7 linked regions of the Callithrix jacchus genome follow. The protein of the gene in region 1 interacts with the protein of each later gene in a pairwise test. Links are inferred from orthologs where the notes say so. Each region holds a gene or a part of one and is shown in the gene's direction. Other genes may lie near its edges. The genes, in order: KRT40, JOSD1, MTA1, DLGAP2, CCDC120, WT1 and HDAC4.

What was found.
Region 2: the proteins of KRT40 (region 1) and JOSD1 interact in binary tests that used the Homo sapiens proteins (3 or more experiments, as listed by UniProt). The two-hybrid records come from large-scale screens. The link is inferred for Callithrix jacchus from reciprocal best matches to the Homo sapiens genes KRT40 and JOSD1.
Region 3: the proteins of KRT40 (region 1) and MTA1 interact in binary tests that used the Homo sapiens proteins (3 or more experiments, as listed by UniProt). The two-hybrid records come from large-scale screens. The link is inferred for Callithrix jacchus from reciprocal best matches to the Homo sapiens genes KRT40 and MTA1.
Region 4: the proteins of KRT40 (region 1) and DLGAP2 interact in a two-hybrid assay, tested with the Homo sapiens proteins (2 studies listed by BioGRID). The link is inferred for Callithrix jacchus from reciprocal best matches to the Homo sapiens genes KRT40 and DLGAP2.
Region 5: the proteins of KRT40 (region 1) and CCDC120 interact in binary tests that used the Homo sapiens proteins (3 or more experiments, as listed by UniProt). The link is inferred for Callithrix jacchus from reciprocal best matches to the Homo sapiens genes KRT40 and CCDC120.
Region 6: the proteins of KRT40 (region 1) and WT1 interact in binary tests that used the Homo sapiens proteins (3 or more experiments, as listed by UniProt). The two-hybrid records come from large-scale screens. The link is inferred for Callithrix jacchus from reciprocal best matches to the Homo sapiens genes KRT40 and WT1.
Region 7: the proteins of KRT40 (region 1) and HDAC4 interact in binary tests that used the Homo sapiens proteins (3 or more experiments, as listed by UniProt). The two-hybrid records come from large-scale screens. The link is inferred for Callithrix jacchus from reciprocal best matches to the Homo sapiens genes KRT40 and HDAC4.

What each region holds. Positions count from the first base shown.
Region 1 is NC_133506.1:92,275,898-92,280,175, forward strand, and holds the start of KRT40 (keratin, type I cytoskeletal 40), read left to right. Parts: upstream 1-1,478; 5' UTR 1,479-1,519; coding exon 1,520-1,966; exon of another isoform or gene 1,967-2,661; coding exon 2,662-2,744; exon of another isoform or gene 2,745-3,375; coding exon 3,376-3,532; intron 3,533-4,278. UniProt on the Homo sapiens protein: May play a role in late hair differentiation.
Region 2 is NC_133502.1:209,578,397-209,582,499, reverse strand, and holds the start of JOSD1 (josephin-1), read left to right. Parts: upstream 1-1,303; 5' UTR 1,304-1,306; coding exon of another isoform or gene 1,307-1,443; 5' UTR 1,444-1,940; coding exon 1,941-2,125; intron 2,126-4,103. Other genes in the region: uncharacterized protein LOC144578143, read left to right, coding at 541-856, 1,307-1,443.
Region 3 is NC_133509.1:140,331,133-140,334,256, forward strand, and holds the end of MTA1 (metastasis-associated protein MTA1), read left to right. Parts: intron 1-301; coding exon 302-313; intron 314-1,381; coding exon 1,382-1,413; intron 1,414-1,750; coding exon 1,751-1,902; intron 1,903-1,974; coding exon 1,975-2,125; 3' UTR 2,126-2,624; downstream 2,625-3,124. UniProt on the Homo sapiens protein: Transcriptional coregulator which can act as both a transcriptional corepressor and coactivator. Acts as a component of the histone deacetylase NuRD complex which participates in the remodeling of chromatin.
Region 4 is NC_133514.1:4,447,400-4,450,899, forward strand, and holds part of DLGAP2 (disks large-associated protein 2), read left to right. Parts: intron 1-1,342; coding exon 1,343-2,397; intron 2,398-3,500.
Region 5 is NC_133524.1:49,609,954-49,613,453, forward strand, and holds part of CCDC120 (coiled-coil domain-containing protein 120), read left to right. Parts: intron 1-1,309; coding exon 1,310-1,468; intron 1,469-1,585; coding exon 1,586-1,676; intron 1,677-1,818; coding exon 1,819-1,952; intron 1,953-2,634; coding exon 2,635-2,775; intron 2,776-3,184; coding exon 3,185-3,479; intron 3,480-3,500. UniProt on the Homo sapiens protein: Centriolar protein required for centriole subdistal appendage assembly and microtubule anchoring in interphase cells. Together with CCDC68, cooperate with subdistal appendage components ODF2, NIN and CEP170 for hierarchical subdistal appendage assembly.
Region 6 is NC_133511.1:97,761,733-97,765,232, reverse strand, and holds part of WT1 (Wilms tumor protein), read left to right. Parts: intron 1-244; coding exon 245-395; intron 396-3,500. UniProt on the Homo sapiens protein: Transcription factor that plays an important role in cellular development and cell survival. Recognizes and binds to the DNA sequence 5'-GCG(T/G)GGGCG-3'. Regulates the expression of numerous target genes, including EPO.
Region 7 is NC_133507.1:160,432,099-160,435,598, reverse strand, and holds part of HDAC4 (histone deacetylase 4), read left to right. Parts: intron 1-2,704; coding exon 2,705-2,891; intron 2,892-3,500. UniProt on the Homo sapiens protein: Responsible for the deacetylation of lysine residues on the N-terminal part of the core histones (H2A, H2B, H3 and H4).

The sequences.
Region 1 (4,278 bases):
CATTAAGTTACTGCGAAAAGATCGTTTTCTTTCAGAGAGTTGTGATTTTTTTGAAAGTGTTTTTGAATCCTTGAACTTGTGTTTGTTGCAAAGCAGCATCAGCATACCATGAAGCACTCTAAAAACTTTTCTCATAAGTGTTGATGTGTAAAGAGAATCACTAAATTCAAACTCAACTCTGCCCAGGGAGTAAGAGACTATTTTAACTCACTTACATATGTTCTCTGGCTTGGTTTGGTTTGGTTTCTCTTCTCAGCTACCCAGGAAGCAGCACTCAAGATTAGGAGAAGAAATAAGTTTATTTTGGATCATAAATTTTTTAACTTTTTCAGATTAATGTGTTTTTTTCCTATAATGTTCTTAAAAATTCTAGAGGCAATTTTCTCTGTGCACCTTTGAAAATGAAATACATGTCATGACTAACGCTAAGCAAAGTGAAATAGATTGTACTTCATAACGGAGGTGAAATTCAAGAGAGAATCCAAAAAAGTCACACATCTCAAGCTCCTATCTGTCAGATTTGGCATCAGAGATTTCAACCAGTGGAATTAGTCATTTGGAACCTGAATAGAATTTTATTTCCCAAGTTCCAGTATGTTTATACATCTCAGAAGCAAAGACTCCTGTGGGTTCCTCCCTCTTTTCTGAAGTATAATCACTGAGGAATTCCCAAGGGACTAAAAGATTATAACTTAGAAAATTTATATTTCACTCTTATTAGGAATACAGGTAAAATTGTATGACTTATCTAAAAATAAGAAGTGTGGAGAAGGCAAGTTTCAGGAAGTCAAAGATCATAATTCCAGCTCTAACCAATATATATTTTAACTTACAGGAAACAAGTTATTCCTATCAGTTGTGTAAAGAGACTTTTCCATTTGTATGCAGGTAGACATGGTTTGTACACACACACACACACTCACACTCTTTAAACCCAGTATATACCTCACTTCTCCAGTCCTGTCAGCACATGCTCTAAGATCACAAAAAGCACTGGAAGATTGCTAACCACACTGACCATTTTTATAGTGGTGGACAAACAAATGAATGTCCTTTTATGAGCCGTAATACTAATTTTAAAGAAGACACAAGCAATCAATGCACAGAATCAAAATCTGTGGGAATATTAATTTCCTGATTTGTAATGAGTTGTATCTATAATTATTGATTGGCCAAATGTTCTCTTTCTTTTCTTATTCTGTCAAAAAGACAATGCTTCCTATGATGATTTTCTGAAATAAGTGTTTTGTCTTGCACATGGAAATGGTGTGGGCCCTGCTTTGGTAACCTAAAGTTATCCCCCTTTTATGAGGCATACAACTCTTCTTCAGTAAATAAACAACTCTAATGAGATGTTTGTATAAAAACCGGCACCATCAATGATGACGAAAACATCCGGTGCAGTCTGTAAACACCCATTTTGAGGGGGCGCTATATAAAACTCTCAGGAGGGAAGGAGTGTTTTGGAGTCAAGGCAACTGGTGTTTTGCAGCCAGTCTCTGTCTTTGCTTCTAGAAGGATGTCTTCTGACTGCTCCTCCACGCTCTGCTCTCCTGAGTCCTGTACCAGGGCTTCCTGTTGTGCACCTGCCTCAAGCTGTTCCATGGAGACAGCTTGTCTCCCCGGTTCCTGTGCTGCATCCCGATGTCAGACCCCTAGCTCCCTTTCCAGGTCTCTCGGGCTGACCGGTTGCCTCCTGCCATGCTACTTTACTGGGAGTTGTAGTAGTCCCTGCTTGGTGGGGAACTGTGCCTGGTGTGAGGATGGAGTGTTCACTAGCAATGAGAAGGAGACGATGCAGTTCCTGAATGACAGACTCGCCAACTATCTGGAGAAGGTGCGCAGCCTGGAGGAGACCAATGCAGAGCTGGAATCCAGGATCCAAGAGCAATGTGAACAGGATATCCCACTGGCATGTCCCGATTATCAGTGTTACTTCAACACCATTGAAGATCTCCAACAAAAGGTGCATGTCCTGTTGCCCTAGTGCTCCAGCTTCTCGATCTATGGTTTGCTTTATCTTTCTACTAGAAGGTGCTGTTTTACAGAAGGAAACCAAGAGAAAGGAGAGTTCTACAAGTTAATGGTACATAGGGAAGAGCACTGTGCTGGAAGTCGGGAAACCTCAGTCCCACCCCTAAAGCTACCCCTGATTACTGAGTAACTATAACAAAGTAACTTGTCTGTGGACTTTTCCTTCGTCATCTATAGAATGCAAAAAGACTGTGTTATATCCAAAATCGCTTTTGTATGTGACACTGAACATTTATATTATCTGAACACAGATCATGAAATGCCATCTTTTTAACCACCTAGTCATTTTCTTCTCTCCCTGATGAATTTCCATTATGGGAGAGGGTATAGTCATAATACAAACTACTGATGGAGAAAAACGTTAATGGCGTTCCACTGCCTAGGAATAGTGCAAAATGTCTTATGTTATGAGAAAAAGTGAACCTTTTTATGTCTCTATTTTGTTTCTGAATTGGCACTGCTTGTTTGCTTCATCAAGTGACACGGTGAATACGGAAAGCAGCTAACGGCCATTTTACACTTTCTTATAAAGACTTTCAAAGGATAACTAATGGCATAGCTGTTGGATAGTAGTTTATTTAGGTTTCTCTCAAAGAATACTTTATTAAATAAGGACTTTCTTCACAGATCTTATGCACGAAGGCAGAGAATTCTAGACTTGCTGTACAGCTTGACAACTGCAAACTGGCCACTGAGGATTTTAAGTCAAAGTGAGTTGAATTTTATTTAATTTATTTATTTTGAGGTGGAGTTTCCCTCGTTGCTCAGGCTGGAGTGCAGTGGCACTATCATGGTTCACTGCAACCTCCGCCTCCTGCGTTTGAGCGAGTCTCCTGCCTCAGTCTCCCAGGTAGCTGCGATTACAGACAGGCATGTGCTGCCATGCCCAGCTAATTTTTGTATTTTTAGTAGAGAAGAGGTTTCACCATGCTGGCCAGAATGGTCTCAAACTCCTGACCTTAGGTGATCTGCCTGCCTTGGCCTCCCAAAGTGCTGGGATTACAGGCATGAGCCACCACACCCAGGCTTAATTTTATTTTGAAAATAATTTATGGCGCTCTCTCTCTCTCTCTCTCTCTCTCTCTCTCACACACACACACACACACACACACACACAAACACACACACACTCTCTCTCTCTCTCACACACACACACAAATATTCTCTATATAATATCTTAAAGTTAAGAATGTCTTAAAAGCTTGAATTTATCATTACTCAGGAATTAAGAGAAATTCTGCATGTGGCTTCCTGAAATTCATATGTCGATCCTCCATGTATCCTCACACTTTGCACAGCATTCAACAGAATAAGTGTTGGATTTCTCTTTTGCTGTGAAAGGTACGACAGTGAACTGTCCCTTCGCCAGCTGTTACAGGCTGACATCAGCGGCCTGCATGGAATCCTGGATGAGCTGACCTTGTGCAAATCCGACCTGGAGGCCCATGTGGAGTCTCTGAAGGAAGATCTTCTTTGCCTTAAGAAAACCCATGAAGAGGTAAGGAAAGTGGCAACTCCGTTGAAGGACTCCAAGAGTGACATAGTTACACTGACAGATGATCTGTTGATGTTTGTGAATAGAACTAGGGCAGATGTTGCTTAAGCTAGACTAAAACTGCTCAAGGCATTATTACTGCTCAGCCTGATCATTCCAGTGTGTCTCTGAATTAAGATGTGAAATACCCCTGGCCAGTGCCAGACGAAGAAATCAAACTCTTCTCCTGCCCCTGCCTTTGTGGAGAAGGTGAATAACTCCACAAATGGCTTTCCTTGGAGGTTTTATGCCACTCCTAATTCCAATCCACCGGCTATAAAAATCAGGCTGAGAAACAGACTGTGAAGGCCATTTCAAAAAGAGAGAAAGACCCGTGCACTATCTGGACCAGTGTTTTTAAATATTCCACATTTATAAACTTTTAAAACTCATAAAATATAAAGCAATTGATATATTAATAAAGCTAGAAAATGAAAAGCTGAATGACGTAACAAATTACTTTGCTCTTTGAACATTTTTTGATGGCAATCATAGCTAACATTCATCGAGAACTTACTATGTGCCAGGACATTTATAAGTTAATTATATGTAGATTAATTCTTCTAGATCTCACAATAACCTTTGGGAGAAATGTCCAATTATTATGCCCATTTTACAGATGAAGCAACTGAGACCCTTGTAAGTGGTGAAAAGAGATTCAGCCTAGGCAATCTGAATAAAAATCTCACACTTTTACCCACTACTCCAAA
Region 2 (4,103 bases), on another chromosome or scaffold:
CGCAGAGGCTGAGACAGAATTGCTTGAACCGGGAGGTGGAGGCTGCAGTAAGCCGAGATCCAACCATTGCAATCCAGCCTGGGCGACAAGAGTGAAATCCCGCCTCCAAAAAATAAAGACTAAATTTGAAGTGCGACTTCTTCCTGTTTTTCCAGTTTTATTAAAAACCCAAAAGGAGGGAAACTACCCTAAGAGTAGGTAAAGAGAAAAAATAATGAAATCCAGGTGCGACTGAGCGTTTTCCCGACAACGCACACAATGCGCTTAGGTCTATGCAGAGAGGAAAGCCACAGTGAGAAGAGCGGGGAGCCCCAAGGCAAGAGGACAGTGGCTTGTGTGTACTGAACCCAAATGCGACACTAAGGAACTGCAACAGGATTCTCCTTCGCACTTGAAATGTGACTCCAGCGAGGCACCTACCCTTGGCGCTCCCTGAACAGCGCGGCGCGGTCGGGCGCACTAAACAAGTCAATTTGCGCTCGACCGAATCAGGTGCTTCGCAATCCCCCCCTGGTGAGCAGCGCGTTAGCCACACATAAAATGGTCAACGCAGGAGGGCAGGACCGCTCGGCCGAGAAGCCCGGCCCAGAGAGGGGAGGGGTGCGCAGAGCCGCGGACAGTAGCTGCTGGTCTGACGGCCGCCCCGGAACAACGCCCACACCCGGGAGAAGGGCAGGCGGGCGTTCTGGCAGGACTCCCTCAGGCCGCCCCGCCCCTCCTGGGACGGCGCCGAGCCGAGCCGCCAGACCCCGGCCCGGCCGGCCGCCGCCGAGCTCCGCAGCCCAACACCGGAGGCCCCTGCAACAGCCCAAACCCTCATCGGCGCCGGGACTCGCCAGGCATCCGTTGCTCGCAGGCAGGCTTCGATGACGTCATCCGTGACGCCACGGCGGGGAGGAGCGGGAGGGCGTTTCCGGGGCACGCGCCGGGAGGGGGCCGCTGACGTCGGGCTCAGGTGCGCGCGCCCGCCCGCCCGCCCGCGCGGCCCAGTTGGCGGCCCGCACTCCAGGTGGAGGCCGGCGGCGGTGAGGGGCGGTCGGCGGCGAGCAATCCCCGGGGCGCTGGGGGCTGCAGCCGGGGGCGCGGCGGGAGGGCGTCCGGGCCTGCGCTCACGTGACGGGCCGGGAGGTTGGGGTGGGGGCGGCGAGCCGGGCGGGCCGGAGCCCTGGAGCGCTAGGCGGACTCTGCGGCCCCACCCCTCGCGGGCCTGGCTGCTGCGGCGCGGAACCTTCCCTCCGGCAGGGGCTGGCCCCGCCGCGCACTTCCCGCGCCCGCTCGCCGCTGACCTGAGTTGTCTCCTTCGCAGGGCCGCGGCCAGAGGGCGAGAGTCCGCGCCTTCCGAGGGAGTCGCGTCCTGCGGGCCCCAGCGCACCCGAGGGGATGGAGGGCTGCCCCCGAGGCCCCCGCGCGGCCCGCGATCCCACGCCCGCGGGCCCGCGCTAGCTGCTCGATTCGTGCGCTTTATCAGCCACCCAGGCCTTGTCTCCCGAATCAGTGGCGTCGTGGTTCGAAAGAAATGGAAGAAAAGGAGCGATGTGACCGATTGTGTTCGGTCCTCCTGCTTTGAGGCCTGGCATTTGCAGAGGGAAACAGCAAGAAAATCGTGGGGTTTTTGGAGAGGGGTGGGAGGGAAGGGTGGGGAAAGGGAAAAAAGGTCTTAGATTTTATGTGTTTTTTAATTTTCTAAATTCTGCACTTTGACAGTGGTAGCAAAATAAAACTAATCCAAAAGTTATTTTTCTATTGAGAAGAGAGAAGAGGTGGGTTTTTTTTTTTTTCTTTTCATTCCAATCTTTTCTCCCAGTGACAAAGCATAAATCATGGACACCAGAGAATAAGGTGGACCTCAGGAATCCTGAAAAGACTGAGAAGCTTACATTCTTCCACTGGAGGGAAGAGTGGGGTGTTTTTAGCCATCTCTGGAACCTAAAAGAAAAAACATGAGTTGTGTGCCATGGAAAGGAGACAAGGCCAAATCTGAATCATTGGAGCTGCCCCAGGCAGCACCCCCACAAATCTACCATGAGAAACAGCGCAGGGAGCTTTGTGCCCTCCACGCCCTCAATAACGTCTTCCAGGACAGCAATGCCTTCACCCGGGATACGCTGCAAGAGATTTTCCAGAGGTAGGGACCCTTCTCCTTGGCATCTTGATACTTACTGATATTTCTGGATTTCTGTGGGTGGGGCAATATCTCAGCTTCATCGGCCTTCAAGTCTGTACGTATTAGCTAGATGCCATTAGCAGGTGTAAGGGACACGCGACAGGAAAAGATAATCACTACCATTTATCTGGCACGTACTGTGGGCTAAGCACAATGCTCATAGCCTCTGCTGTTTTCTTGAGTGATCTGCTCAGCAGTCCCATGGAAGACATGTTAATACCTGGAGTTATTTCCATTTTAATGATGAAGACAGCATTTAGTTCAGTACTTTGCCCAAGGTAACAAGACTTGGAGCTGGGTTGAATTCTTTTAAGTACGCTGTTGACCACTAGGTTTAATGCCTCTAAAGTTCTCCTGCCGGGGAGTTTACGATCTAGAAGTGGGACAAGATCCATTCAGTCACCTGTCATCAAAGGTTGAATTTGGGGGATACCACAAGCAAGATGTGTACACAGTGCTCAGCATTTCTGTGAGGCCAGGTGCTGGCAGTGGGGCTTTTCGTACATTGCTTTGTGTAGCCCTCCTAGCATTCATCTCACTGCCTGTATTTTACTGATAAATAGCCAGAAAGGTGAGGTAATATGTTCAAATAGCTTCTAAATAGATAGCAAAGCTATAATTTGAAGCTGACTCTGGATCCCCTCCTCTTTTTCCTTTATTCTAGATGGTCTTCCTTACCCACTTAGAACAAATGGCACTCCACAGGTTGATAGTTCAGCTTTTGGCCAAGCACCATGGCTCATGCCTGTAATCCCAGCACTTTGGAAGGCCAAGGCGGGTGGAATCACCTAAGTCCTGGAGTTTGAGACCAGTCTGGCCAACATGGTGAAACCCTGTCTCTACTAAAAATACAAAAATTAGTTGGGTGTGGTAGTGCATGCCTGTAGCCCTAGCTACTCGGGAGGCTGAGGCAGGAGAATCACTTGCACCAGGAGGTGGAGGTTGCAGTGAACCAATATCCCACCACTGTACTCCAGCCTGGGTGACAGGTCTTGGGGAAAAAAAAAAAGAGTTCAGCTTTATTCTCTTTGCTCTCATTTTCTTTTCTTCTTTTTTGAGACGGAGTTTCGCTCGTTACCCAGGCTGGAGTGCAATGGCACGATCTTGGCTTACCGCAACCTCCACCTCCTGGGTTCAAGCAATTCTCCTGCCTCAGCCTCCCGAATAGCTGGGACTACAGGCACGTGCCACCATGCCCAGCTAATTTTTGTGTTTTTAGTAGAGACGAGGTTTCACCATATTGACCAGGATGGTCTCGATCTCTTGATCTCGTGATCCACCCTCCTCGGCCTCCCAAAGTGCTGGGATTATAGCCTGCTCTCATTTTCTAGAATTGCTTTGTTAAAGGTTTTGAGAATCACTTATGTCGTGTCTTGATGAACACAACAGCATGTCTGCGGTCCGTAGCAACTCTGGTGGTGATGTTGCCTGATGACCCCAACTAGAAAGGGTTAGGCCCACTCAGTCCTCATTGCAGAAAAGCTCAAGCATTCTTTGAGCAGTGCTTATTGGCATTTCCAGAAGACGTTTTTCTTACTCTCTTAGCTTGTAAATGAAGTTATTGCCACATAGGGACCAGAATTACAGCTGGAAGCAATCTATTTGGGGTGATTTGTAAAAACACAGGTACGGATCATTTGCCCTGAAAGAGCCAGAGGCCTACTCTTAAAAGAATGTTAATCCCCATATGCAGACAAAACTATAATGAGAGTAATTATTTTCCAATGCCAGTAGTAACCAGAGTAATGCCTTAGCATTGAGCAAATGCGTTGTTTGCATCACGGCCATAATCTGGCAGCAAGTAGAGTTGACTCTGCAGGACCTGGGGTGTGGGAGATAAGATCGTTTGTCTCAGATCATCAGATCATGTCACTGAAAGGAGGATCCAGTACGTTGGACTGCTTTCTTTTGACCAGCCGTTAGTATTTCTCCTACTTCT
Region 3 (3,124 bases), on another chromosome or scaffold:
GCCACAGAGGGAGTGCCTGTCCTGACATGTGGGGCCAGGACCCCGGCGCTGGAGAGGGGCCGGCTGGGTGGAGACAGCTCCCGGGGGCGTTGGCACAAAGCGGGTGGGGTCTCTGTCCAACCTGGGTAGGTGTGAGCCGAGCTCGGGCAAGGCCCTGCCTGCCCACTGCATGGAGCCCTAGCGTTCTAACGCAGCCAGCTGCCCCTGCTCTGTCCCCACCTGCGGGGCCTGCAGACGGCGCGTGCGGCTCACTAACCTAAAGCATGTGTTTTCGTCCCTCTGCCGTCCACCACACTGGTAGGCACTTACCTGGGTAAGTAGCTTTTGTGCTAGGGGCCAGCCCTGGGCGCTGGGCCTGGGCTCACGGCAGGTGCCCCGAGGTGTGGCTGCCGCTGCTCAGGGGCGCTACGGAGCAGGCACCTGGGCCCCCACCCCACCCTGCCGGCAGGGCTAAGCCAGCTGGTAGGGAAAGGCTGACCCAGGGCTCCAGGGCCCAAGTTGGCCCCTAGGGGAGTGCCCCAAGCTAGGGGTGGCTGCAGGTGGGTAGGGCTGGACAGGCCACTTCTGTTCAGCCTCAGCTGAGCAGTGTTTCTGGAGCTGGCAGGTTTGCCCCCAAGCCTGGCACCTGACTGAGTATGGCATCCTGTCCTCTCCGGGTTGGTCCTGCTGGGAGCCAGACCGCCCTGAGACCAGCTTCTGTGTGCCCACACTCACACTCACAGGCAGGGCAGTGGGGGATAGCAGCTCAGGTCCTGGGCCTGGCTGGGGGTCACCAGGAGCATGGCCTGCCTCTTGGCCCGGCTCCCGCAGTGCCCCTTAGGCTCCTTACTGTGGGAACTCAGAGGCCTTTGGCACCCCACCAGGGTGGCTGGGGCCCAGCAGGGGCAGTGGGCAGCGACCTGAGTTTCCAGCTGGGGTTGGTGGCTCTTGATGCCCTGGACCTGGCCAGTGAAGGCAGCTCGGAGCCTTGGGAAGAAGCCTGGCTTCCTGGTGGACCAAGGCCTACAGCATGGCTGCCCGCAGAGGGGCTTATGCCACTGCTCTACTGACGGCCATGCCAGGCTTTGCTTGTCTCTGCACAGGCAGGCGAGTGGGTGGGCGGCCCGGCCCCTGTGCAGCTGTGACGTCCAAGGCTCCTGGGCTCCTGCCTGGAGTTCAAGCCAATGTGTCTCTCACCGATCAGAGAGCAATGGGGCCACCAGACGGCCCAGGACCTGGGGAGGCGAGGCCCCACATCCCCCAGGCCCATCCCGGGTGTGGGCTGTGGCTTGGTTGTCGGGTGGCCCCAGCCCGTTGTCCCGGGGTGGCTGAGGCAGCTGTGGGTGGTGGGGGTGCAGGACGCGCTCTCTGAACCTCATTTCTCTTCTACATTTTTCGTCAGGTCTGGCAAACCACGGACAGTCCAGGCACATGGTAAGAGGGACAGCCCATGATGTGGCACACATGTGCTCACCCTTGGGAAGCTCTCGGGGGGTAGCCGGCCCTGCCCAGTGCCACGTGGAAGCCTCCAGGAGGCCTGGCAGGACCAGAGGGGCTGCAGCATGTGGGGACCGTGGCCTCTGTGCCAGGCCAGCGGTGTGGGCCACACAGTCCAGGGCCACCCTGGCTTGGGGCGGGAGTATGAGTAGCTCATGGGGTGGGGTGGGGGGTCTCCAGGCGGCCGTGGTTGGGGCCCCGCTCAGCAGGAGCCTGCAGGTTGAGGTGGAGCTGGCCCTCGGCCGGCTGCCCAGGAAGCGCACCCCCTCTGCAGGGACCAAGCCGGAACCTCCTGCTTAACGGGAAGTCCTACCCCACCAAAGTGCGCCTGATCCGGGGGGGCTCCCTGCCCCCGGTCAAGCGGCGGCGGATGAACTGGATCGACGCCCCAGATGACGTGTTCTACATGGCCACGGAGGAGACCAGGTGGGGCCTTCCCGGGGCAGGCGGGCGGGCTCCGAGCAGCGTCCCGGCCCTCACCGCCACCTCTGCCCGCAGGAAAATCCGCAAACTGCTCTCGTCCTCGGAAACCAAGCGGGCTGCCCGCCGGCCCTACAGACCCATCGCCCTGCGCCAGAGCCAGGCCCTGCCGCTGCGGCCAGCGCCGCCCGCGCCGGTCAACGACGAGCCCATCGTCATCGAGGACTAGGGGCCGCCCCCGCCTGCGGCCGCCCCACCCTCGCCCGCCCCAGCGCCCACGCGGCCCTTCCCAGCCAGCCCGCCGCCCGCCCCCTCAGTTTGGTAGTGCCCCACCTCCCGCCCTCACCTGCAGAGCAACGCGCGCCTCGGCCCTGGGGAGGAGAGGAGGAAGCGCCGCCAACTTATTCCCGAACCGAGGAGCCGTGTTTTTAGCTTCGTGTTTACTTTTCGGCTGGAGCGGAGATGCGGGGCCACCCACGCGTGCCCCTGTGCTGCGGGGCTTCCTGCCCGGAGGCCGGGCCCTAAGGTTTTGTTGTGTTCTGTTGAAGGTGCCATTTTAAATTTTATTTTTATTACTTTTTTTGTAGATGAACTTGAGCTCTGTAACTTACACCTGGAATGTTAGGACCGCGCGGCCGAGCTGCCTGGCGGGGTTGGCCCCTTGTCTTTTCAAGTAATTTTCATATTAAACAGAAACAAAGTAAAAAATCTTATAAAAAGAAAAAAAACAACTGGTTCTTCCCCGTCTTTTGCTCCCAGTCCCTCTCCCTGACTTAGGCCCTGGGGCCCCCACCCTCCTCGGGCAGCCCTGGCCGTGCCCCTGCCCTGGAGCGGGAGGCCCCTGGAGAGCCACCCGGCCTCCAGGCTCTGCTGCTCTCCCTGTCAGGCCTGGCGCAGTGCCCTCTCCCTGTCTCCCAAGTCCGGGGCTCAGCTGGGGCCAGGAGGCTCAGAGAAGGGGCTCCGAGGACATAGCACCAGGAAGCCTGTGGGTGCGGAGCTTTCCAGACTGGGGCCAGGCTCTGCCGGGCTTCAGGGCAGAGGCAGCACGAGGAGAGAGGTCTGGCAGGCCTGGGTGGGAGGAGGCCAGGGTGGGGGTGTGGGGGTGGAGTGACCAGCATGACCCCTCTATCTCCACAAGGGGCAGCAAGGGGTCTCAGGGCCCGGCCCCCTTCCCCTGTGGAGCAGGGCTGCAGTGGTGGGCCTGGGGCTGCCCCCTACCAGGCAGAGC
Region 4 (3,500 bases), on another chromosome or scaffold:
TCTTCCCAGGGACAGGAAAGAGCAAGGTACCTGCCCTTGGCGGCTCAGTGGCCATAAGACAGGCCATGCTGTGCTGTCGCCATAGCCTCCATCCTCCAGGCTTGCAGGGAAAGCTCATCGCAGGCTGCAGAGGGGCACAGGGAGGAGTCGGGTGGGAAGGGACAGAGCCTGGCCTCTGGGGAAGGAGTCACAGATGCCCCCACGAAGACGGGGCCTCGAGAAACCCCTCCCATCCTCACTAGCCTGTGAGGATGTGGATCGAACAAGCAATTTCACAATTAATACGTATGTGTGTGTCTGTGTGTGGTGTGTGTGTCTGTGTGTGTGTGTGTGAGATACATGAGCTTGCTAGACAATATCACCCATCAAGCACCAGATGCTGTTTTAAAACTTCTTAAGCTGTACCACAAAATGGAAATCTAAGTGAAATACAACTATGTCTTTCCCTCAAATTGTCAGTTTCCTTTAATACCACAAAATCCGGCTGTGAAGAGACCTGGTCTTGGTCATGAACCGTTAGGGAATGTCAGAGTTTCCTCTCTGCTCCTCTCACTTTGTCATATAAAAACAACTGCCCGGCCAGGCACGATGGCTCACACCTGTAATCCCAGCAATTTGGGAGGCTGAGGCGGTGGATCACCTGAGGTGAGGAGTTCAAAACCAGACTGACCAACATGGCAAAACTTCATCTCTATTAAAAATAGAAAATTAGCTGGGCATGGTGGTGTGCACTATAATCCCAGCTACTCGGGAGGCTGAGGCAGGAGAATTGCTTGAACCCGGGAGATGGAGGTTGCAGTGAGCCAAGATTATGCCACTGCACTCCAGCCTGGGAGACAAGGCGAGACTCTGTCTCACAAAAACAAACAAACAAACAAAAAAATTAGTCGGGCATGGTGGCGGGTGCCTGTAATCCCCCCAGTTTGGGAGGATGAGGTGGGCGGATCACCTGAGGTCAGGAGTTTGAAACCATCCAACCTGACCAACATGGCAAAACCTCATCTCTACTAAAAGTACAAAATTAGCCAGGTGTGGTGGCACATACCTGTAATCTCAGCTACTCGGGAGGCTGAGGCAAGAGAATCGCTTGAACCCGGAAGGCAGCTGTTGCAGTGAGCTGAGATCCTGCCACTGCACTCCACCCTGGGCGACAGCGGGGACCGGGTCTCAGAAAAACAAGCAAAACTGTCCTCTCGCGTGCCCAGGCCAGAAATAGACACTGACCATCCTGAAAACCCAGTCCACGGTGGGGGGGTCACATACTCCACCTGCTCGCACCCGGGGGTCCCCGCCCACGCTCCCGCTCCCGGGTGCTGAGTGACGTTTCTGTGTTTTCCCGCAGACCCGCAGTACTCATGGTCGCCCACGCAGCACTTCAATGAGGAGCGCTACTCCCCGGCGCCCAGGAGCATGAAGGGCCTCTCCGGAAGCCGGACGCAGCCGCCGCTGTGTTCCGGGCACACGTGCGGCCTGGCGCCCCCCGAGGACTGCGAGCACCTGCACCACGCGCCCGAGCGGCCTCCCTACCTGCTGAGCGCCGCGGACAGCTGCCCCGGGGGGCGCCACCGCTGCTCGCCGCGCAGCTCGGTGCACTCGGAGTGCGTCCTGATGCCGGTGGCGCTGGGCGACCACGTGTCCAGCAGCACCTTCCCGCGCATGCACTACAGCTCGCACTACGACGCGCGCGACGACTGCGCCGCACCGCACGTGGGCGCCAAGATCAACCGCATCCCCGCCAACCTGCTGGACCAGTTCGAGAAGCAGCTGCCGCTGCACCGGGACGGCTTCCACACGCTGCAGTACCAGCGCGCGTCCGCGGCGGCCGAGCAGCGCAGCGAGAGCCCGGGGCGCATCCGCCACCTGGTGCACTCGGTGCAGAAGCTCTTCACCAAGTCCCACTCGCTGGAGGGCTCCTCCAAGGGCAACGCCAACGGGGCCAAGGCGGACGGCCGCGCCGACGACCCCCACCACGGCCACCACGCCAAGCATGGCAAGAGGAGCAAGAGCAAGGAGCGCAAGCCCGAGGGCAAGCCGCGGCCCGGCATGAGCAGCTGGTGGAGCTCGGATGACAACCTGGACAGCGACAGCACCTACCGGCCGCCCAGCGTGCTCAACCGGCACCACCTGGGCCCCGCGGCCCACGGCTACCCCGACGCCCTGCAGAGCCCCTTTGGGGACCTCTCACTCAAGACCTCCAAGAGCAACAACGACGTCAAGTGCTCGGCCTGCGAGGGGCTGGCGCTGACGCCGGACGCCAAGTACCTGAAGCGCAGCTCCTGGTCCACGCTGACGGTCAGCCAGGCCAAGGAGGCCTACCGCAAGAGCTCGCTGAACCTGGACAAGCCGCTGCTGCACCAGGACACCAAGCCCGCCCTGAGGCCGTGCCACTACCTCCAGGTAAGCAGACTCCCGCAACGGCAGGTGCTGTGGTCATTATTCCATTTCTAATTGACAGGTGACAACCGCATAACTGTGGGGAGTGCCACGGGATGCTCTGAGCTACAACACACGCCGGGACAGCTCCACTGAGCTACTCACACGCCCATTGCCTTTGGTACACCGTCTGTTGTGGTGGGAACATGTGAAGCCCACTCTGGGTGATTTCCAAGTGTGCAGTACAGGGTTAACTGTAGCTGTCATGCTGGCCACTCGGTCTCTTGAGCCCCTCCTTGCTTGTTGGTGGATGAGACCGACATCTCCCAATTCCTCCCCATCCCTAGTCCCGCCGGTGAACACAGTTCCACTCTCTGCATCCGTGAGTTCAGCTGTTTCAGATACCACCCTTGAGAGCGACCAAGCGGCCTCTGTCTGTGTGCACCAGGCTCATCCGGCTTTCTTTCCACAGTGCCTCCCGGCTCATCCATGTCGTGGAGAATGGCAGGTTTCCTTCTTTCACAGGCTGAGTAGTGTCCCATGTGTGTGTACTGCATCTTCTCTATCCATCATTTGCCGGTAGACTTGAGGGTTGACCACACGCCATGGCCTGCAGGGATGGTGAGATGTCTATGGCAGCTGTCATGCGTGACTCTGGCTCACTCTGGGAGCCTCTGGAGATCCCAATTCCTCCTTGGAACCACCCCTGTAAGCACAGGGGACCATTTTTTAAATGCCTCTAAGGCTGGAGAGTTTAACAGCCACAACAAACATAAACTAGCTGGTGTGCACGTTTTCCGTGTGAAAGCTAACGGTCAGGCGTCATGGAAATGGGCCTGTGACATTCGGGAGTTCACGCCCTGCACCTGACCACAGCCTCTATAAGCTGGAAAAGGCCTCTGTGTCTCTGGGGTGTGGATTTAGTGAATTTACCAAAGGCAAAAACAAATTAAAGAAGGTAGATTCCTAGAGCTAGCATATTGCAGAATTCTCTATTTCATGTGGATTTCCTCTGCCTTTGAATGGAGCCATCCCCGAGTTTACTGGGGAAGCCCTCTGGGAGGCACACGCTGCTGCTGAGGATGCCGCTGAGTGACTTCTGTCGGCCGATAGCGCTGTTAACAAAA
Region 5 (3,500 bases), on another chromosome or scaffold:
TTTGTCAAAAGGCTTTAGGGACTGATTCCCACCCCTGCTATTGAAGGCAGGGCACCACTGCTTCAAGAGAGGGGTACAGGCCCTATGGGGCAGGTAGGAGGACTCCAGAGAAAACTGACACCTTATAGACAGCTTGGCCTCACCCTACGATATACAGATGGGGAAGGGGCTTGAACCCATGCCTCCTTGGTTGGCTGGGTCTTCCTCACACCAGGCTAACAGTGTCATGACAAGCTGCCAAGTTCAAGGTAGGTGATGATGGGAACTCTGTGGCCCCATAAAACCCTCCCAGTCACCTGCCATTGAGGTTAGGCCAGGTGGTGGGAGGTGATGTCACTCAGCTCCCCAGCTGGGGACTGAGCAGGATGTGGAAGGGAGGGAGCAAACTCCAAAGGAGGGGACAAGGGCAGGGCTGGTGGCCAGCCAAGTCAGGCTCCATGGTCAGCAGAGGCATTGAGGGCAGAGAAGGAGGCAGGAGGCAGGAGGCAGGTGGTTTGTTATTTTCAGCTGTGGACTTTACTTCTTACAAATTCCAGCAGGGGGACTTCCCTAGCTAGGCTCAGGACAGGCTGGCATGGGAAGAGGGGCTGGAGGGACCCTGGGTCAAGTGAACCTAGTGAACACTCTCCTTGCTGCACTAGAGCTACAGAATGGAGTTGGGACAAGCACAGACCCACAGATCTGGGCTTGAACCCTGGCTCCACTGCCTCCTCATTCATTTACTCCGTCTTTTATTCATTCACCTGGCACCCATTCATTGAGCACTTGCGTGTACAGCCGTGTTCAGGATGCTGGCAATGCTGATGAAAATGGGACAGATAATGTTTTCTATCATTGCGGATGTTCCAGGAGGCATAATCTCTTGTTGGACAACCATTTGTGAGAGAATATAACACAGGGGCCCCCTGTGGAAGTGATATTTAAGCTTTAGAATGATAAGTGACACGAAGGGGCTGGGGTGGTGACAGATTGAAGAAAGCATTTCAGGCAGCAGCCACAGCCTGGGCAAAGACCCTGAGGCCTGAGGGACCAGGGAACTTATGAGGAAGTTGGTGGAGTTGAAGCGGTTCTCGTGAGCAAGAGTGTAGGTCCAGGGGGTGGACCTGGGTTATGTATGTGGCTATGGGCCAGTTATTTCACCTCTGTGCCTTCCTCTCCTCATCTGTAAAATGGGAGTATGAATCTTCCCAGGTGGCTGTGAAGATTCACTGTGGCATTGTAGGTAACTGTTGCAGGCAACCAGGTGCTGACTGCGTGGCTGTTGTTCTTATGGTTGGTTGAATCTGTCCCATTAATTCTCCCTCCCCAGGCAAGACTCCTGGCTGTGACCCATGGGCCTCTGAGGAGGCGTTGTAAGTCCGCCCAGCTCCCCACTTGCTGTGCTCCCACTCAATGCGAAGGGAACCAAGGTACCAGGGCCAAGTGGGTCCAGACATCCACACGGATTCTGAAAGGGCAGGTCAAGCAGGCACGTGGGGCCCAGGTTACCCCTTATTCCCTGCTGTGGCATGGGAAGTTGGGAAGGGCTGGGGGTTGGGGTATCATGGGACGTGCTTCCTTAACGGCTCCTGTGTGTCACTGCCAGACTTTGTCCAGCCATCAGCCACGGCCTCTCAACAGCACCAAGATGGAAGTCAAAGGTCAGCTGATCAGCTCTCCTACCTTCAATGCCCCAGGTCGGTGGCTGCTTCCCCTCCTGTTGCCTCCTCCCCTGCTCTAAATCACCACCTGCTTGCTTGGGAAGAGTTGGTCCCTGGCCCCACAGCTGCTCCAGGATGCCCTGGCTGTCCCACTGATCTTTGCTCCCTCTGTGTCCAGCTGCCCTGTTCGGAGAGGCTGCCCCCCAGGTGAAGTCAGAGCGTCTGCGGGGGTTGCTTGACCGGCAGCGGACCCTACAGGAGGCCCTGAGCCTGAAACTTCAGGAGCTCCGCAAAGTGTGTCTCCAGGAGGCGGTAAGGGCCTGGCCCTAGGGGTGTCAGGCGGGGAGGTGGTGGGGGAGGTGAGGAGCTGGGTCCCCTAGATAGACAGACTTGGGTGGCAGTTGTTCAACCACTTGTCCTGTCTGTGTCACCCACTTTTCTCTGTCACCCACTTTCTCAAAGCTCAGCTTAGCTGTGTTAGAATGAATGAAATACGGTAATACAGGCACACAATCCCCTGTCGACAATTTCAAATCCAACAAACCTTAGAAAACAGGTTCTGTTCAAAATTTGGCAGCACAGTCAGACCTGAACTGGCACAGGGTGATGTGTAGTTTCAGTTTCCCCCTCTTACTGTGAATGCCCACAGTGTGCCAGAAATAATACTATAGCTCAGACCACGCAGCCCCAGCCCCCGAAGGGAGTTATATAATACTTAGGATCTCGATGGTATCGCTTTTATAAAAATGAAACAATTTTGGATCCCAAAGCAGGTCTCCCTGCCTCTCATGCCCACCACCACAGGGGTTTGGGCCATTGAGATTTGGGCACGCCTGCCTGTTGGACATAATGGGAGGAGGAAGGGAAGTATCGTGTGTGGGTGCTGAGCAGGGCCAGGCTCCTGGTAGGACTTCTGTAGCTTCTGGGATCATTAATGTGTTACCGCATCCTTCCAACTAACCCTTGGTAGTCTCTGACTTCTGCCCTCCACCAGGAGCTGACTGGCCAGCTGCCCCCTGAGTGCCCGTTGGAGCCTGGTGAACGGCCCCAGTTGGTCCGCCGGCGGCCCCCCACAGCCCGCGCCTACCCTCCACCACACCCCAACCCAGCACACCACTCCTTGTGCCCTGCTGAGGTGAGCAGATGGGTGTGGAGAGCAAGAGGGTGGGGAGAGGGGACAGGTACAGAGGAGTAGCCAGGAGGAAGGTATGGGGAGGGGGCTTGTGGCCAGGTGAGGGAGAGGCTAAGGTGAGAAGGAAAAGGGCTTCTGGAGGTAGGTTCCTGCAATGAGGGAGGATGCTGGTCCCTAACTGTCAGGACAGGCCTCCCATGCTCAGGAAGATAAACAGTCCCAGTCCTTCACCAAGAGAGGCCCTGCCCTGCCCTGCCCTGCCCTGCCCCCTCCCCTCCCTGGGGTAAATAAGTTCCACCTGCAGGTGAATAGGCCTGAATAGGCCACTGGAAGTGCAGGACAGCCTCTAGTGGGTTTGGCTCCACCAGGTCCCTGTGCCTGGCCATTTCCAACATTTGGATGGGCCCGACAGGAGCTGGCTCTTGAGGCCCTGGAGCGTGAGGTGTCGGTGCAGCAGCAGATTGCAGCAGCTGCCCGCCGCCTGGCCCTGGCCCCTGATTTGAGCACCGAGCAGCGCCGGCGCCGGCGCCAGGTCCAGGCAGACGCACTGCGGAGGCTGCACGAGCTGGAGGAGCAGCTCGGGGACGTCCGGGCCCGCCTTGGCCTCCCAGTGCTCCCACCACCCCAGCCACTGCCACTGTCTACGGGGCCAGTGATCACCGCCCAGGGAGTCTGCCTGGGCATGCGGCTCACTCAGCTCAGCCAAGGTGAGCATCCCCTGGTGAGGG
Region 6 (3,500 bases), on another chromosome or scaffold:
CTCAAGAGAGACACTTCTGGTTGCTCAGTAGTGATGGTCTTAGAGCACTGCATTGTAGAATGTCCTGATCTAGCATCCATTAGTGATGTCTGCCATGGGGATCTGGAGTGCAAATGGGAGTGGTTTTAGGTCTGGACCTGCCATCTCTTCTTTGGATATATTCCAGTGCTCACGCTCCCTCAGGACCTACGTGAATGTTCACATGTGGCTTAAAGCCTCCCTTCCTCTTGCTCTCTGCCTGCAGGATGTGCGGCGCGTGCCTGGAGTAGCCCCGACCCTTGTGCGGTCGGCATCTGAGACCAGTGAGAAACGCCCCTTCATGTGTGCTTACCCAGGCTGCAATAAGAGATATTTTAAGCTGTCCCACTTACAGATGCACAGCAGGAAGCACACTGGTAAGTGTGTCCACTATCCAGCCTTGGGCAAACATGGTTCAAGAGCTCCTTTTCCAGGCTCTCACACTGTTAAGGACACAGGTGATTTCCAGGATGGAAAGTAAGCACTGCTTTGAAAGGTCTGATCCAGGCGATGGATGGTGGCTGTGCGGCCATTTTACATTCTGATTATCCATCCTTTGTTACAGATGTCAGCAAACTGTCTTCCAGAAGGACAGAGCAGAGTGAGTGGTAGAGAGAAAGTGCCACACAGACCTGTGTGGGAATTGTGTTGGTGTTAGAATACTTTTAGCGTTTCTAAAGAGAGAGGAGCTAGCCTGGGAATATAGCATCAGATGGTTTTGGGAGATCTACTCTGAAATTTTGGAAGAGATAGATAGTCCAAAGGAAAACTTACCTGCTTGGGTAGTAATCAACCAGACAGGAAGGGGAAAATTGACTGTTGGTTTGATTTTTTTTGTGATTGCTTAAAAAAAAAAAAGTCCAGGCGCAGGGTCTCACACCTGTAATCCCAGCACTTTGGGAGGCTGAGGTGGGTGGATCACTGAGGTCAGGAGTTCAAGACCAGCCAGGCCAACGTGGTGAAACCCCATCTCTACTAAAGCTTTTCCTAATACAAAACAAGCCAGGTGTTGTGGCCCACACCTGTAATCCCAGCTACTTGGGAGGCTGAGGCAGGAGAATCGCTGGAACTCGGAAGACGGAGGTTGCAGTGAGCTGAGATAGCAGCACTGTACTCCAGCTTGGGTACAGAGTGAGACTCTGCCAAAAAAAAAAAAAGAAGAAAAAAGAGAGAGAGAGATGATGATGATTTTTGAGGCTATGCCAATGAAACTGGCTTTTCCCCCAGGTCAACGGGCCTGCTTCTGGGAAATAGAAAAGTGGCATTGTCTGGTGTTGCCCACCTTAAATGTGGACAGCCATGTCACAGAACGTTTGCTCTGGGCCTTCTGGGCACTAGGTGGGAGTGTGGGAGTGTGGTGAAGCCCCGGTTTTCCTACCGAGGTGTTGGTGCTGCCCTCTCCACAACCGAAAAACAGCATTACTGTTAGGATCACTGTTACAATTGTGTTATTACTGGTGATTTTGCTGTTGGGAAGCTGGAGAAAAAAGTGAGCTGCATTCAGATTTCCTCAGACCACTGGATTTTGCCAATTCACAGTGTACAGAGGATGCAATTCTGGTATAAACTCGAGTTTGCACTCAGTGGGCCACAGACTTTGAGGCTAAAGAGGAGAGGATCAGTGGCATGTTATATTTGTATCAGGTTCTCTACAGGTATATTTCATTTAATCCTCACTCACAAAACATTTATTAAGAGGGTAGAATATAGCAAAAAGAGGACTAAAACTCCCGCCTTTTGACTCCAGGTTATAATCCCCCTTCTCAAGGAGTTCGTGGTTTGTTTCGGAGCTAGGATATACACAAATGAAATGGGACTAAGAGAATACACGGTCATGTACTAAATCAGAGATGGGAGGTACTGATGAGTTTGGAGGGTGTCCAGTTTGAACTAGGGTCATATGATGAAGTTTATCAGAAGAGGAAGGGCTCGGGTTAACCAGTGAAGGCTGATAGGCTGGACAGAGAAAGAGATGAGCAGAAGCTCAAAGGCAAGGGAGGAGATCAGACTCAATAGGGGCATTGTCTTCTCCAGCTCACAGAGGTGAAGCATCGGGCACCAGGCTGGATAGAAATATAAAGAAAGGGGCCAGGCGTTGTGGTTCACACCTGTAATCCCAGGACATTGGGAGGCATAGGCAGGAGGATTGCTTAAGGGGTTCAAGACCAGCCTGGGCAATATAGTGAGACCCTGTCTCTACAAAAAACATTTAAAAAAATTTAGCCAATTGTGCTGGTGTATGCCTGTAGTCCCAGCTACTCAGGAAGCTGAGGTGGGAGGATCGCTTATGCCCAGGATTTGGAGGCTGCAGTGAGCTAGGCTCGCAGGACTGCACTTCAGTCAGGGCAGCAGAGAGAGAGAGAGAATTTGTCTCTGAGAAAAAAAATAAAAACGTTCCAGTGCTTAGGATTTTCCAGCCCATGGAAGGATTTCCATGGAAGGATTGTAGACCCAGATACAGCTCACCACATTAGACACCCTGGAAGAAATGTTGTAATGAGGGAAGGAAGGAGAATTGGACCGTTCAATTTCCAAGCAGGCATTGCAGACAAAGTGTCATTTGTGAGGCACATACAGGAGCCTTTTCAATGTGGAGACAGGGGCGGAGGACATTTAGTGTGAGCAGAATGCAAGGAGGACTTCAAGATGTGAGCTCTGGCACAGCGGGGAATAGAGGTTCATGAAGGAAACAGCAGAGGTTTTGAGGTTGGAAAGATAACTGGGGGCTGCCCTGCAACACAAAGGCCTGACTGGTTCTAGAATGGCTTGTTTCTGTCCCAGATGCCTGTGACTCAGATTCTCCTAGGAAGGTGGGAAGGCCCAGGGTTGCTCACTTCTCTTGGGGCTCAGGTTCCAGGCTGAACTTTCTGTAGTGAGAACAGGTGTGAGGCTTCTCCATTCTGAGACAGGAGGTTGGGTAATCCCATTGCTGACTTGTCTTGGATAAAAGGGACACCAAAAACTTTCTCAATGCTTTGGCTTTTGGTGTAACTTAAGGGTCTCACAACCATGGAGTCATGTTTGCTTGACTCAGGAACAGGGAGTTAGTAGCAGAGAACACCAGATCTTTGGGCCATAGAACATGAGGCTGACCTCAAGGCACGTGCATCCCAGAATTCTGCCTCAGATTCAGCCTGGGAGTTAAAGATTTTGGTTTTCGTTTGTCTGTGTATTCTCTGCTAATATTTTTTGAACACTCCTTCTGTGCTAGGCCCTGGACTGAGCCCTTTACAAGAAGGTCATAAATCTTTTGAAGTTGTTGGATTGTTGGACCCATTTTACAATGAAGAAACCACACCTAACGTAGCTATTTTTTTTTTTAATGGCAGATCTGGCTGTGAGCCCTGGGGCAGAATCCTCTGGCCCCTGAGCTGCCATCATTTCTAACTTGCAGGTTTGGGATCATCCTACCCTAACAAACTCCAGCAAAGTGCCTTAGGCATTTTGAGATCTGCTCAGTCCTAGTAGGAGATGTTGCCTTT
Region 7 (3,500 bases), on another chromosome or scaffold:
TGAGGGAGGTGACATCACTGCTTTCTAGCCATGCAGCCCCAGAGAATGGGTTTCCTTCCTGTCTGTAGGTGTAAATGAACACAGAATCCACGTGTTAAGAGATAGAGGAAGTGAAGGAAATAGATGTATTAATTGATCAGAAAGGCAGACAGGGTCTGATCAGAAGCCAAGACATTTCGTGGTGCAGAAGTGCTAACGAGCAGCCCTACAGATCCAGACAGATGGGTACAGTTGTGGTACCCAGAGCCAGTAAGGCTTCAGGGCACTGACACGGAGGAACCAAACTCACAGGAGACCGATGAAGAAGGCCAGTGAGTGATTGGTTAATTTCCAGGGAAACATAAAACTTCCAAGTCAACAGAAATACCTAGGGCGTTTGGGCAGCCAGCCAGAGCCCTGTATCTGCAGCCACAGTGTCCTCAGGAAGGTGGCTTCCCCCTATAGGCGGGAAGTGAGCCTGGGGAGCCACAGCTGTAGGTTTGATCTGTCCTCCAGCAGCAGAGCTGTGGCTTCAGCTGCAGGAGCCACTGGCTTTTCCTTCCCTTCTCGCTGGACTCCACGATGGCCATGGCACTGGGCACCTCCCCTGCTTCCTGCCTGCCAGCTGTGTGGCCTGACGCTGCCTCCACCCCCGGCGGCATCTTGGAAGCCAGGAACAGGGCTCCCAGCAGTAAACCATTTCCTTGAATTCTCAGCTACACTTCTTAAATGCTTGCTACTGAATGAAATCTGTGTGGGGACTTAAATCTGCAGCACCTGGACCGGAGTCCACCACAGTGGTCTCCGGAGGCTTCCGGGTCAGAAGCCCGTCTCTACCCAGCTTCCCAGAGGCTGGCATTGGGTGCTATCTCTCCTTCTCATTCAGGGGGTGGCTGCTCTCTAATTTCTGGGGCTGCTTCATTAGCACCCCAGGCACTAAACACGACAGAGCGCAGCAGAACTAACACTTGGTGAAGACAGACAGACAGCCCGGCCTCCCTGGCACACATGGCGCTTCCCGGTGGACTCCTGTCCACAGGTCCTGTTTGACGGCCCAGCATGGGGGCTTCTTCCTGTGGTCAGGTCGCGGTGAAGGAAGCGGGTCTCTCACTGGGACTGAAATTCCGTGTGTTGTTGTTATGCTGAGAAGAAACTGGAACTATTTACATTAGTAATTTTTAGGGCTCGCTTCTCATAGATCAGCATTTACTTTGAAAAAAGAGGTTTGTTATATTCGAAGCATGAGACGATTATTAGAAACACTTATTTTCTGTGTTCTCCAGTGAGTAATAGGCAGACCTCCGTATCAGGGAAATGTGGTAGTACTTGGAGCAACTTTCCGCATTCAGGGAGACGGGGCATCTTCCAGTCAGTGTGCCAGGAGAATCGTTTATCAGCTGCATGGAGCTGCAGTAATCCCAGCTGAACTCGGTCAGCGGAAGCCTGGGGGCCTGTGGGTGCCGGCTCCAGCTCCTCCTGCTGTTTCGGGGCTGCCCTTTGCTCTACTCCTGGCTCTGATTCCTAAAGGCAGGACAGATCGGAGCCTCGCCAGACAGCTCTGGCTTCCCCCAGTGCTGGTGGCACAGGGCTGGGCTCTGCCTCTCACACAGGAGCTGGCATGTGGGTACTTGGTTTTCCACATTCACAGGATTTGTTCATCAAAACTAAGACAGGATTGGGGCAGAGCTCCCAGCAAGGAGGCTCCCGGCTTCCTTTGTGCTTTGGCCTGGGTGGCAGGTGGCTGGCTGTGCCCTCCCTCGGCTGCTGCCTGGGGAGAGGCTGGGCAGCTGTGGCCTTATCTCTGCCTTGCTCCCTCCTCTCCACTCTGCCTCATATGGGGATATGCACCTCAGCCTGTCCCCAGCATCCCTTGAGGTGTCCCATGCCTCTGGCTGAGAGCCCCCCTGCACACACACACACAGAGCCCCAGCCCCGTTCCACCTCTCCAGAGAGGCGCGTCCCCACCAGCAGGCCTGCTCCTGGCCCCAAAGGCCCTGGGTGCCTGGAAGCTGATGGGCTGTTTCTGCTTTTAGCCTGCACGCCGTGTGTGTGGGATGTGAGACCAGGGAGGGGGGCGGCTGGGGATGAGGCCGAGTTAGCTCTCCCAAGTCTGAGTCTGTGGTGTGCTTTCTCGCCCGAGTTTGGCATGCAGATTCAGTGCCCTTGGTCAAAAATAAGACCCACAAACCCAACAAGGGGGCGGGGCTTCGTGCCCACCCGCTGTATGTGTGTGGTGTAGCAGAGTGGGCACTCTGGTCCCCACATCTGCATGGCCTTCACGTATCCCCCAGGCTGCCACCCCCGCAAGAGCCTCTCCACGCCTGCCGTGCCCTTGCTGCTGGGCCTGCTCCCCTGCACCTGGTCCAGGTTGCTCCTGGCTCAGCACCTCCTTAGAGAAGCCCTCCTTAATACCCCAAACTGAGCCAGGCCTCGCTGGAACCCCCTGGCTCAGCCTGTGTTACACTGTTAATGAAGCCTGTGGCACATCCCTCGTGGACGGCCCACCTTCCCTAGAGGGAGCTATGTGCTGGGCAGCAGAGCCCGTGCTGGCATTGTTCTTGGGTCGGAGCCCACTCGGGCTTCAGGGCACTCACAGGGAAGGCCTCTCCATGCAGCCGGCCTCGCGGCATCCTCGTGGCCTGTGTACGTCCTGTGCATGGATGGGAGATGCAAGAGAAGGGCGCCCTCGCCCTGCAGCCGCCATCATGGCCGTTTCTCCCCACAGCAAGCTCTCCTGCTGGAGCAGCAACGGATCCACCAGCTGAGGAACTACCAGGCGTCCATGGAGGCTGCCGGCATCCCCGTGTCCTTCGGCAGCCACCGGCCTCTGTCCCGGGCACAGTCCTCACCGGCATCCGCCACCTTCCCCGTGTCTGTCCAGGAGCCCCCTGCCAAACCGAGGTTCACGACAGGTAACATGTGGCCTTCGCGCAGCCTGAGGCTACGACGCAGGCCACCGTGGGCACAGCCTGGGGGGCTGCTCCAGGCCCAGCTCTGCAGAGACTGAGGGGCTGGGTGGGCACTGCCGCGGGGCCCAAGGGCCACACTGGGTGATGGGGACCATGCAGTCCAGTCCCGGACGCCCTCCCCACCACACACTCAGTTCAGTTACTCTGGGGGCCTGTCACGAGCTCACTTGCCCACCTTCCCTGTCCCAGAGACCCGTGGTCTCCTCCAAGAACAGTCCCTAGCCCATGCCCATGGGGCTGTGAGGGCAGGCAGCTTCTGGTCCAGCGTGATAGGAATCAGGAGCCTGCGCCTCTGCACTTACGCTCTCACACTTTGCCACGTCCACAGTGTTGGCTCTGAGGCTCCAGTGACTTAGGGCTATGAGTGGCTGGTGGGCGGCCATGATTATTCAAGAGCAGAGCCAGGAGCCCTGGGACACACTGTGGGAGCCACGTGCCCTCTGTGTCTGTGCCACCTTCATGCCATCTTCTCCCTGGAGAGGCCATCTGCCAGCCAGGGTCTCTGGTTTTCCCTGCACGGTACCTCACCAGAAGTCAGGAGGCGAGTGAGGT